3 linked regions of the Tribolium castaneum genome follow. The protein of the gene in region 3 interacts with the protein of the main gene of each other region in a biochemical or structural test. Links are inferred from orthologs where the notes say so. Each region holds a gene or a part of one and is shown on either strand. Other genes may lie near its edges.

The links.
Region 1: the proteins of hpo (region 3) and sav form a complex in vitro, tested with the Drosophila melanogaster proteins (3 studies listed by BioGRID, with this or other methods). The link is inferred for Tribolium castaneum from reciprocal best matches to the Drosophila melanogaster genes hpo and sav.
Region 2: of the proteins of hpo (region 3) and inhibitor of apoptosis 1, one has a biochemical effect on the other in vitro, tested with the Drosophila melanogaster proteins (2 studies listed by BioGRID). The link is inferred for Tribolium castaneum from reciprocal best matches to the Drosophila melanogaster genes hpo and Diap1.

What each region holds. Positions count from the first base shown.
Region 1 is NC_087396.1:21,519,327-21,523,206, reverse strand, and holds sav (protein salvador homolog 1), read right to left. Parts: upstream 2,482-3,880; 5' UTR 2,437-2,481; coding exon 2,346-2,436; intron 2,294-2,345; coding exon 1,974-2,293; intron 1,922-1,973; coding exon 1,681-1,921; intron 1,537-1,680; coding exon 1,356-1,536; intron 1,308-1,355; coding exon 1,126-1,307; intron 1,058-1,125; coding exon 858-1,057; 3' UTR 816-857; coding exon of another isoform or gene 691-815; 3' UTR 654-690; downstream 1-653. Other genes in the region: uncharacterized protein LOC659596, read left to right, coding at 423-639, 691-815; solute carrier family 25 member 45, read left to right, coding at 2,534-2,582, 3,459-3,880. UniProt on the Drosophila melanogaster protein: Plays a key role in the Hippo/SWH (Sav/Wts/Hpo) signaling pathway, a signaling pathway that plays a pivotal role in organ size control and tumor suppression by restricting proliferation and promoting apoptosis.
Region 2 is NC_087397.1:2,699,990-2,704,188, forward strand, and holds inhibitor of apoptosis 1, read right to left. Parts: upstream 2,813-4,199; 5' UTR 2,798-2,812; coding exon 2,793-2,797; intron 2,715-2,792; coding exon 2,363-2,714; intron 2,198-2,362; exon of another isoform or gene 2,042-2,197; coding exon of another isoform or gene 2,003-2,041; intron 1,933-2,002; coding exon 910-1,932; 3' UTR 570-909; downstream 1-569. UniProt on the Drosophila melanogaster protein: Anti-apoptotic protein which functions as a caspase regulator, using its E3 ubiquitin-protein ligase activity to smother caspase activity. Binds, ubiquitinates and inactivates initiator caspase Dronc, and effector caspases Drice and Dcp-1.
Region 3 is NC_087403.1:7,367,142-7,370,186, forward strand, and holds the end of hpo (serine/threonine-protein kinase 3), read right to left. Parts: intron 1,540-3,045; exon of another isoform or gene 1,503-1,539; coding exon of another isoform or gene 1,489-1,502; coding exon 1,409-1,488; intron 1,356-1,408; coding exon 1,179-1,355; intron 1,124-1,178; coding exon 965-1,123; 3' UTR 544-964; downstream 1-543. UniProt on the Drosophila melanogaster protein: Plays a key role in the Hippo/SWH (Sav/Wts/Hpo) signaling pathway, a signaling pathway that plays a pivotal role in organ size control and tumor suppression by restricting proliferation and promoting apoptosis.

The sequences.
Region 1 (3,880 bases), on a different chromosome or scaffold from region 3:
GACCTTCGCTCAAAAAACGGTCGATGCAAAAAGTGCACAATTAGGTTAGACTTTCGGCCAAATATGGGCATGATTTTTCAATGAAACTGGGCCGCAAACTCCACCCGTTCTACTCACATTTGGGTCCGTTGCGCCGAAATTACTTATTCATAGTATTTTAATTGACTGTGACACGAAAATTTCACTTCGAATTTTGATACTTTTTAAAGGGACGCCATTTTGTTTATTTTTTCAAATCGCGGCCGGTAAAGTAGGGCCCGAAACTGCCATCTAACCTCTAATTTTATGGCAAAAACCCGGGATTATCACTAGAACGAACCGCTGGAATCGCCCAAAAAAACACTAAACGCGTCAAGAGTTCGCCCCAAACCACTCCACGACGTGTTATTTCTCGCCGATTTTGCGTGTTACATAACCCCAAAATGTCGCTCTTCAACCCCCGTTGGTTGCGTAATTTTATCAGAAGACACACGAATCAGATCCCTGAGCAGCGGGCCCACGTGTGGAAACAGCGCCTTTCCATATTCTACATGTTAACCGCGTGGAACGCCTTCGGCTTCGTCCTTTACCAGGTGTACCAAGGCAATGCAGACTGGGCCCGCAAGTACAAATCGGAGGAAGAATTGTCCCTATCCCCAGGTAAAATGAGACACTTGTTAATAAAAATAAAGCGTTTATTCGTGTCTTTAGCACAACAATGGGCTCGAACTTTAGGCATTAAGGACGCAAAAGTGATACAAGTCTCAGGCCTGCAAGTCACTAACTATGACATCCATAACGAGTTTGATGAAGCGTCTGAAGCGATACAAGAATAAATAATCACATTTCTTAGTTAATAAAATACAAAAAGGAACATTTTATTGACCAGTCACAGCCCCATTTCTACTATTCCTAAACTTCTCCATTTCGACAAGCAATGCGGACCTGTAGGTCTCGTACCGCATCACAATGTTCTGCAGTTCCTGCTTATAAAGCCGCGTCAGCATGCCGTTGTAACAGTCCAGGTCTTGCAACCGGAACATGTCCCACTTTAATTTGTGGTCCAGATCCGGACTCGCTAAAATAAACACCAAAAAAATCGGTTACACTCACAATTAACACAGCAAAAATTAATTGTGGTTTTACCATTGAAATAGACGTTAAGCCAATGGGGAATCTCCTCTAACAAGTAGGGATTTGCCGGCACCAGGACGCTGTGAGGCTGATAATGTGTCGTTCTTGGGGGGTTGAAATACCGCACCTCGGGCTGATAATTATAGCAAGGCACTAGACAAGGGTGCTCGTATTGAGCTTGTTTCGTAATGTGACTACAATTAAATTATTTGGATTTGAGTCTAACTGGGGGAAAAACCCACTTGACGTAATAAATGCCGTAAATGGGGGAATGGACACATTGCCATCCTGTGGGAAGCCCCTCGCGCTCCAGGGGGTGCGACCAATGGGTGGTTTTGGTATTGTGGTCGATGTAGTACTTACGACCACGGAGGGTGTAGTCCACGGACCAGCCGGGCGGAAGCGGAAGCTCTTCAGACTGATCTAAAAACAAGCGCCTAACTATGCAAATAATTGATTGTTAAAAATCAAACAAATTTTTAAAAATAATCAAAGCAAGAACGTCTAAGTGCCGTAATAATGATTAATTGACACAACGAGCTAGGCAACCAGTTGTACACCCAATACCTGTACTGCTTTCATTGCGCCCCAGCGAGTGTCTCAAATGGTGGGCGAGCGATTCACCATAAGTCATCCCTTGCAGAGGATTAGAGTAGCGCTCGGCCCCCGTATTGCTATAAATGGGGGTCGTGTCTTGACTCTTATGGGCCCCATCAGTGTTCTGATAAATCGGCGAACTTCTGCTATTATAATTATTATCCTGCGTAGTGAGTGGATAAATTTGATCAATTTCGACGTAATTGGCGTTCTGGAAGCGACAAATTCAATTAAAAAACCCACTTCAAGGGGGCTTGAACCACCGAATTGTCACTGTATGACGAACTGATGTGTTGGTTCATGTAAATGTGTTGTGGGGCCACTGATGAGCTTGGCGTGTAAAGGGAATTGTTTTCGTTTGTGGACAGATTGGCAAACCTGGTGGCCAAATCCGGGACTGAGGAGCTGGGTGTGTACTTCCCCTGGTGCGCCCCCAGGCCAGAGCTGATGATGGTTTTTTGGTTCCCGAATTTCTGGACGGTGATGCTGCTCTGGTTGGCCCCCCGTGTGAGGCTGGCGGGGAGCGACTGACGGCCCTGGTTCGAGAGGCGTCTTTTTGGTTCGGTTGTCCAAACGTTAATGACTGCGAAAAATTTGATGTGAGGTTAGGTCCAACTTGTCAAAAAATCGCTCACTTGGCATTTCGGGCGGGGTGTCTTTTTTCACGTATTTGCCGACCACCCCTTCCTTGATCGTTTTCAAATCTTTGTTTTTGCGCGATAGCATGGTCAGCAGGTGTGCAAATTGCGGGCTATTTTCGGCTGAAAATTGAGGGCCAGTCGATGAGGGTTTGCGACGGCGGCTGGCGGAGGCGTCTCAAGCGATGGATGGGACGTTCAAGTTCGCCGATTTCATTGCAGGATGGTTCGGAGGTACTCTATGTCTTGTCATGGGGAAAAACACTTGTAAACACTGCATTTTGGTCACAACAGAAATTCCATTGTTTACAAATTCACATCACCAGATTAGGGGCATGCGCGATGGACGTTTTAGCGACATTCCAGCGTGTATTCATTGTTGTCTACGGTTAGGGGGCCACGCGTGGCTGGGGCCCTCTTTTAGGCTGGTTTTTGTAAATGACGATTACAAAACATGCAAACTTTGGTCATTATCTCGAAAACTAGCAGTGATAAATGAAAACTGATTACATATTTGGAATCCTTAGACAAATCAAATTCCGGTCAAGTCGTTGATTTTTCCGACTACGAAAAATTATCCTAACTATAAATTACATGTCATAATTTTTTTAAGCACAGACTAACTAGTGTAGGAAATAATTTTTCATTGCATCTGAGAAAATTTCGGAAATAAACATTCACCCTGTATACGGAAAAGGTAAAAATATGTTCTCTAACGAACGCTAGTTGAAGCTAACTAGGCTAACTTTTCACACAAAACCCCAAAAAATTATAATAAAATTTCGAAATGTTGGGTCGCTTCCAAGAGGTCGGGTATTTACCCGGCGCCTCCACCATTATGTCATGAAGAATTCGTTAACTGTGAATTTGTACCATTTCGGAACTGATTAAGTTCATGAAAATTGGTACAGGCACGTAATTTCAACTGCTTTTTAAGAAATCGGGCCTCAAAAATACGAGGGGGCTCTTAATTGAATTATATTTTTTTAAATATTACGTTTATTCTGAGATGGAAATTGCATTTAAACAACTACTGAAATGTTATAGAATCAACATTACAACTGTGCCACTGTGTGGGTCATTCTGGAAATAAAAAATCCCGAATTTCAGGCATCTGTGGGGTGGTGGTGGGCCACCCCCTCGACACGATCAAAGTGCGCCAACAGAACTTCGGCACGAAGCTGTTCGTTGCCATTTCGCGCACATTCCGGCACGAGGGAATCCCCGGCTTCTTCAAAGGAATGCTATGTCCTGTACTTACCATCGGCCCCTCGAACGCCATTCTTTTCGGCGTTTACGGCAACTTAATGAACGTCTTCAACGAAAACTACGTACCTCGCCAAGTCTCGCACACCGACTTCGATGCCCTAAGACACGTTTTCATCGCCGGGACAATTGGGGGCTTCTTTCAATCGCTTTTCGTGTGTCCGGCTGAACTGGTCAAGACGCTGATGCAAATCAAGACGGAGGGCAAAGGCTCATGGAGACGCCACTCGGAGGTGGTTTACACGGGATCGATTGACGCGTTTTTC
Region 2 (4,199 bases), on a different chromosome or scaffold from region 3:
AAAGCCGCAAACATCTTGACCTTAAGAGTTGGGATCAGAGATAGATTTACATTGTCTGATTTGTTGCAATAAAATATTTGGCCAATTTTTTGGAAAAATTGCTAGTTAATTGCTTCGTCATTTCTGAGTCATAATAGATTACTGGAACAATTAAAAATTAACGATTGGATTAACTGCAAGTGTGAGAAAATCGGGATTGAATAAATTGAATGAACGTGTGAATGTGGAACGGAAATGAACGACCTTTACGATCATGTGAAGGGAGCAACACTAATGAAATGCGAGGCCTGGCTGCTGGAGAAAATTAGCTATGGGAAAATGCCATTTGCATGAAATAATAAAGGAAACAACAAAAATTATCGACGGATGAAAACATTTGATTTCGTAACTTTTGTTTTTTATTTGAAAAAAAAAAGGGTGCAGGTAGAAGCTCTCGATCTATTTTTATCTTTTTTCAGAAAACACGAGCTCCATTCATGTTGAGGTTTATCATTATCAATGAGTCTTTACTTTTCGTTTCGTGGGAGCATGATTTTTTTTGAGTGCAGGATGGGTAATAAAAAAACTCGTTGTGAATTGAAAATTGTATATTCTATTCTTGTAATACAAAAACAGTGAAGTAATGTCATTGTAAACGTTATATTACTTCAGCTATTGCAGTGAGGAACTTGCTACATCAAATGAAAGTCAACTAAACCTATTTGAAGCGTATTGTTGGAAATTAAGTTAACTTATGTACAGTTAGATAACAATCAACCCTACGGTATTGATAGCTTTGTACTGAAAGAAGGGTGTTATATAAAAATAGAGTCTGTTTTTCTAATTAGTTTTATTGAAGACCAACCGATGAAAAATTGACTAGAAGTGTTTAAGAAAAGAAAAAAAGTGAATTATGTTACAATTTAGTTTTTAAGATATATACACTTTAATCTTGCTGTCGATGCCTTTTCTACAAATTGGACAATTTTGCATAACATCCGAACATTGCGTACACGCAATAATGTGTTTACACGGCATAAAAACGGTATTTCTTTCAAATCTGTCGCAAATTCTGCATAAAATCACTCCATCTTCAGACGCTGCACCACACTCACTTTTTTCCTCAGTACTTTCGTTCTCTTTGGTTACATTACTCGCCGACACACCGGCCATTTTTTTCTGAACTTGGTTAATATAACCCTGTCCTTTGGAAGCTACAAGAAACTCACACCTGGGATACCACTTTGCGTGCTCCTCCCACGGCTCGTCTTCGTCCTTCCAGTCCCTAAGCGCCCCTCCACACGAAAAACAAATAGTGTGGTCCTCCACCCCCCGGTAGTAAAACCCGGCATCAGCCAGCGTCTCCGGACTTTGCTTCGCGGAACTCGGCCAAGTCGCAAACGACTCTAACCGCGCCTTCTTGTCTTCATACGGCCGGATCATCGTCCGGAGCATCCGGAACGTCTCACTCTCCGGAACCGAGTTCGGGAACAGCTCCACATTCCCGCACACGTCCTGGCCTTGGGCCGGGACGCGCAAGTTCTGGCTCTTCTCTTTGGCAAAGGGGCAGTTTGGCGACCATCGCACGTGCTCGGACAGCGGCTCGTCGTCCTGCTCCCAACTGCAGATTTCCGCTTTGCAAAAGGCACACTTCACAAGGTCGGGCTTCGAGGGGTTGTTTAAGAAGTAGAAGCCGGCTTTGGCTAAGGCTTCGGGAGTTACAGCCGAACTTTTCCAGTCTATGAATGTGCTCAAGCGATCCGCCTCCTTAGTTAGGTCTAGTCGGGCGGAGGCGCTCAGGGCTTCGCTTTTGTGGCCGTTGTCCGGCTCGGTGACACTTGCTTTCGTCTCGGGGGGAAGCGGCTTGTAGGGCTCATAGTTGATGATATGACTGCTGTCTTTCATAGAGCGCAGAATGGTGGAGTTGCTCGAGAGTGTGTCAACCATTGCTTTCTGCAACAAAACAAACGCTCAAACAACGGCAAAAAATGGTTAGGGAAGGTGTGCTCGTAATTGTCTTTACCGTTTTTTTGCCAACTTCTTTTATTAAAATTACCAACATATGACAATTTTAAGCAGTTTTGATTTTTCCGCATATTACTGATTTTTCATAATTTGTCAACTGTGGCAAATGACACTTAAGTGCGATAATTGCAAATAAAATAATCCTTTGTATCCAGTCGACAGGAAATACCGTTTTATGTAACTCGTTACATAAAATTGACATTTCCTAACTGGTTACTTTATTTATTAACAGTTACTATCCCACGCCATCTTGAAGAGTTTCGATAATGATTTCGCTGCAATTCTCATTAAGAATCGTGGGATATGGTGATTATTGAAGGTAAAAATTAGGAAATTTCACTATTGGAATCAAAATAACCATTCTCTCGAGACTGGAAAATGTTCGAGCGTTCGCCGAGACAACTGAGCGAAACAATCGAATGTAGCACATACTAGAAAGTAGAAAGTGCGGTGCATGGGTGGCTATGCAAAAATGGGAATGGTTTTGGGAACGGTTGTCGATGGCAAAGATCGATTGCGGCGTTGCCATTCGATGTAAATTTGGCGATTGTCGGCAAGTTGGCCTTTTATGGCCGTGTTCGTCTCGGGAATTTCTTGGTATGTTATTAGTGGGGCGTTCCTGCGGAGCCGAGAAGGACAGATAGTGTCCGAGTATCGTACGGCCGTCTGAGTACACTCGCACCGAAGGGACTCCAGTGTCGGCAACATTGCTGGAATTCAGAAACCATTCACGATTTCCAGCATTCCATTCTTACCGCTCCCCGACCGCTACAAGCACCCAGCCCTACCACATTCCAGAGAGATCACATCAATGGTCGGCTGCGAGCACCGGAAAGACGAAAAAAAGTTCACACCGAGAGCGAGAGAGACGGCTGGATGGTACAGACATTCCCAGACGGCTCCATCGAGAAGGGTTTGCCCATATCGACCCGGTGCCAGGCTGGCAAAAGGGCGGAAAATCGCGCTCTAGGGCCGTTTTCGGCCAGAAATACGACTTACGTGCGATTGTTTTAACTAGGACACAAGGACGACATATGGCCACTTTCTACTCGCACCGAGGGTGCTACTACCAACCCAAAAAAAATACTGGCACTAACCTTACTCGAAGGTCCTCCCGAGCTGGAGCTTGCCTCAACTTTTCGCTTATTTATTTTGTTTTTTTTTATAAATTAAAACTCCTCAACTCAGCTCACACACAACTCGACTACTAAAAGTGCATACGCTCAAGCGTAAACTTCCACCAACGACCAACTCGAAACTGGCGAATGCCAACGCGACGGCTCGAACGTCCCCGAAGCGGCGCCCCTGTTGCCACGTCAGACCGTGAGATAGTTAGGTTTTACAAAGCGAGCCGATTTCGTAGTAACTTTGTAATTGGACAATTCAAAAGCATTACAAAAAAAACACCAAATATCTACTATGTTGTCGATAGTTTCGTAAAGCGATTGGCTTTTGTTTCCGTTACAAACGACGGGATTAGTCGCGGCCGACTTGATCTAAAAATATACGCAATAATAACAATTATCGACCATGAGATTTCCTCATGAATGAAAATTAGTGATTTGCAAATATGCGTCATAGGTTAAAAGTGCATTCGCGTGTAACCGGAATGCTTTTCAATGCCGTACAAGGAAAATCGATTACAAATACAAGCGACGACTTGCGGGAAATTTAAACGAAATTTCTACTTTCTGATATCTGATAATCCGCTTCCGAGAATGAAATAATAGAAATTATCTTCCAAAGTCCGACGCGCCTTTGTTGTCTACATTTTTTGATAATCACGCTGGCCTGGAATTTTTCGAAATTGTCACGGTTGCGTACATCAAAGGCGGCCTGGAATTTTTAAAAATTGCCACAGTTGCGTACACCGTTATCACAGGCGGCCTGGAATTTTTCAAAATTATCACAGTTGCGTACACCATATCACAGGCGGCCTGGAATTTTTCAAAATTGTCACCGTTGCGACAAAAACAAGTATTAAGCGGCTATCAACACGACACGTAAACATTCTTAATGTCATAATAATAAAAAATTGAAGCAAACAACAACTAACTCATGCATATTTTATCGTTTTTTTACCTTAAAAACATTCATGGCGTTTGACTTTGACCACTTGTGAAAAAGTAGCTGAACTTAGAACTGCAAAAATGCCTGTTCAATGGTCAGAACACACGAACGCTGTAATTATATTT
Region 3 (3,045 bases):
ACTGTATGTGCAATGCACCCCTGCTCCTCCCAGGACCAGACTTGTTGCATCGCGAAGGATTCAACTCGTATAAATATGCTCACACTGAACTAATCCCTCCATTTTGTGCCTTTAATTGGTAACGTATATGTATATATTTTATTGACAACGGTTACTTGTAGTCTTAGTTTTACAATTTCTAAAATATATTTTACACTAACATATTGTAACAGTGCCTTTCACATTTACTCTAGTGTTTAAGTGCTTATTGTATCACCACCAATTGGTACAGCTGTGATTAAGAATCAGAAATTTTGGACCGTTTACAGGTGTTATTAGCTGCAAAATTCACTTCACGAAGCAATACTCAACGCAATCAGTCTTGTGGCTACTAACACTGATTTTTCATTTGTGGGCCAACCAAGCGAAATGTTAGCCGATGAGGGAGCGAATCTTAATTTCAATCAAGCTTTCAGTAAGGAGAAAGGAGATGCCGCTTGATTGGCCTACTGTTTTATTGTGAAATTATTGTATTAGTTTATAATTGTAAATATATATTGGAAATATTAGTTATGAATTTTATTTGATCAAAAAATATGGTTACACTCGTACTTAATCCTAGGTACTACTAAAGGCACAGCAAGCGTACTTATCGTACAGGTTATAACCTAGAGTTAAAATGACTGTACAAAAATAACACTGATAAAAGCTCAAACTTGTCGTGAAGGCAATTTTATTAAAATTAATGATTAACTAAAATGTTTAACTGGTGCATCCGGTATGGCAAAACATTTTAATCTAGTGAAATAAAATTGAGAATAACATATTAAAAACTGTACGTAACTGATTAAGTACAATAAGTAGGAACACATCTTGTTTCCTCACCACGATATTCGGCTCAAAAAGCAACAAAGATAAACTAAATGGCAAGTATTAAAAAACCTAACTTTTTGAGCACCATATTCCATTGCAACGAGCCAACAGTTCAGAAATTCTGTTGTCGCTTCCGCTTCGTATCCATTGCATCTAAAATCGGCTGTCTTTTAATCTGATACCTCCTACGAAGTTCGTCTATTTCTCTCTCCATATCTAAATCTAATTTGGCCATCCTCTGTTGCAACTCCTCGAAACTCAAAAACTTCAACTGAAAAAACAACCACTCAAACCCAATTAATTCACCACACATATGAAATACCCACAAATTCAAAATCACCATCTGAGAAAGGCCGATGAAATTGTGCTTTTTGTTCTTGAGGTTGGGCCTGTTGAGGCGACGGCACTTGGTTTAACTGTACATGAAAATGACTTTGGAAACGTTGCTCGTCAGGCACGATTTCGGGACCATCAAGCGTCGTAGGCGTCACGACGCCGTTACCCTAAATTTGCAATAAACAATTTATCAATTGATAACTAATTAATTGTTACTTACTTCCGCCTCCTTTTTGTCAAAGTGCTCCAAAAACAACGGCCGGTATTTCTTGCCGCCTTGACTCGAACCCGTGTCATGCCCTGAAATGGTTTTGCTATGCAACCAACATTACAGAAACATGCACGATTTCAATCACGACGAAAAACACTCATACACGACTATTTTTAAACACGTTGCGAATGTTTTTTTTATACATTCAGCCGTTTGAGATAAAAGATACAACGAGTCAGTTTAAGACCTAACCGCAAAATGATTATAATTTTTGAAATTATTTAAATTAACTGGTGATATCGTGTTTGTGCTTAATTTTGTATTCAATGTTACTGTGTGATTGCATTTACAAATAAAATTAAAAATACATAATCTACTATTTCTTGTCCAAGTAACCTTTATTCTGAGCTTTTTTGGAATTCTATAAATTATAACTGATAATGATAACTCATTTTGTATTAGTTTTTCTACAACTATTTTCTACAATACTGTTATCGATATTCTTTTATAATTCATTCAGTTTCTAATTTATCCTTGTCTCAAGCGTAGAATAATAAAAAAGAAGTACGTGATTCCACTTTATTTATTGCACAAACTGTGGACGTAATTTTTTCATTTCAATACTTTTAAGACGATTTGAGCACAAACATTTGTGCATTCAAGAGTTTTTATTGAAGTTTCGGTTTTATTTCCTCTCAGTACTTCCACATTTTTCAAGACATTTTTAGAGAATAGTTGGACTCACAAATGTTTTTATAATAACAGAGAAACTTGTACATTTTGTAGAAACTCATTAAATTAAAAATGTTATTTTCCACATTTCCTTTGATATCACCTGGTTAAAAAATTTAGTCACAGTGATTTAATGCAAATTGCAGTCAGGCAATTCACAAAAAATATTTCAAGGTTTTGCACTTTATATCGATAGATTTATTAATTTTTCATCAAATAACTCAATTAGATTTTCTTCTGCTTATCTTGAGAGATAACAAGGTGGAAGTCTTATTATTTAGCAAGTTTTGCAGTGAAAACTTTGCTAATTGCTAATAACTATATTTTTAAAACACTATTACGAATTTATACAGTTTTTTTTAATACCTTAACTAATTTATATAATTAATGCAAGCTGATTATGTTAATTGTTATTGTCATTGTCAACAATTGTCATTGTTAATCACGAATAACTGATATTCTTCAATGGGCGTTAATTAATACAATTATTAAATTAAAGTAACAGTTTTATTTATCGGTACAGGCAAAATCTATTTCATTTTTGCAGCATCTGTGTCAAAGTCATACAAAATTCGGCGGTGACTGTAAGTTTTAAAAGCTCTTAAGTTAAGTAAGTTAAGCTCTTAAGTTAGTTAAACTAAGTTTAGTTTTGTTTAGTGATGGGTGATATATAATACGCAAATAGCTAACAAATACGTTTCATGTTTAAAAATTACAGAAAAACTCTTACATTGGTTTAATGTTACAATTGCCAGTTGATAAAAAAAGAGACACTTTTTACAGTCAGACTCTGTTATTTGGTTATTTCGATCCGTTTATTTACGAAGTAGAAGAAGTAGAAGTAGAGTAGAAGTAGAAGTAGAAGAAGTAGCAATTTCTAAGAAATATTTTGACATTTTGTCGTTTATACCGAT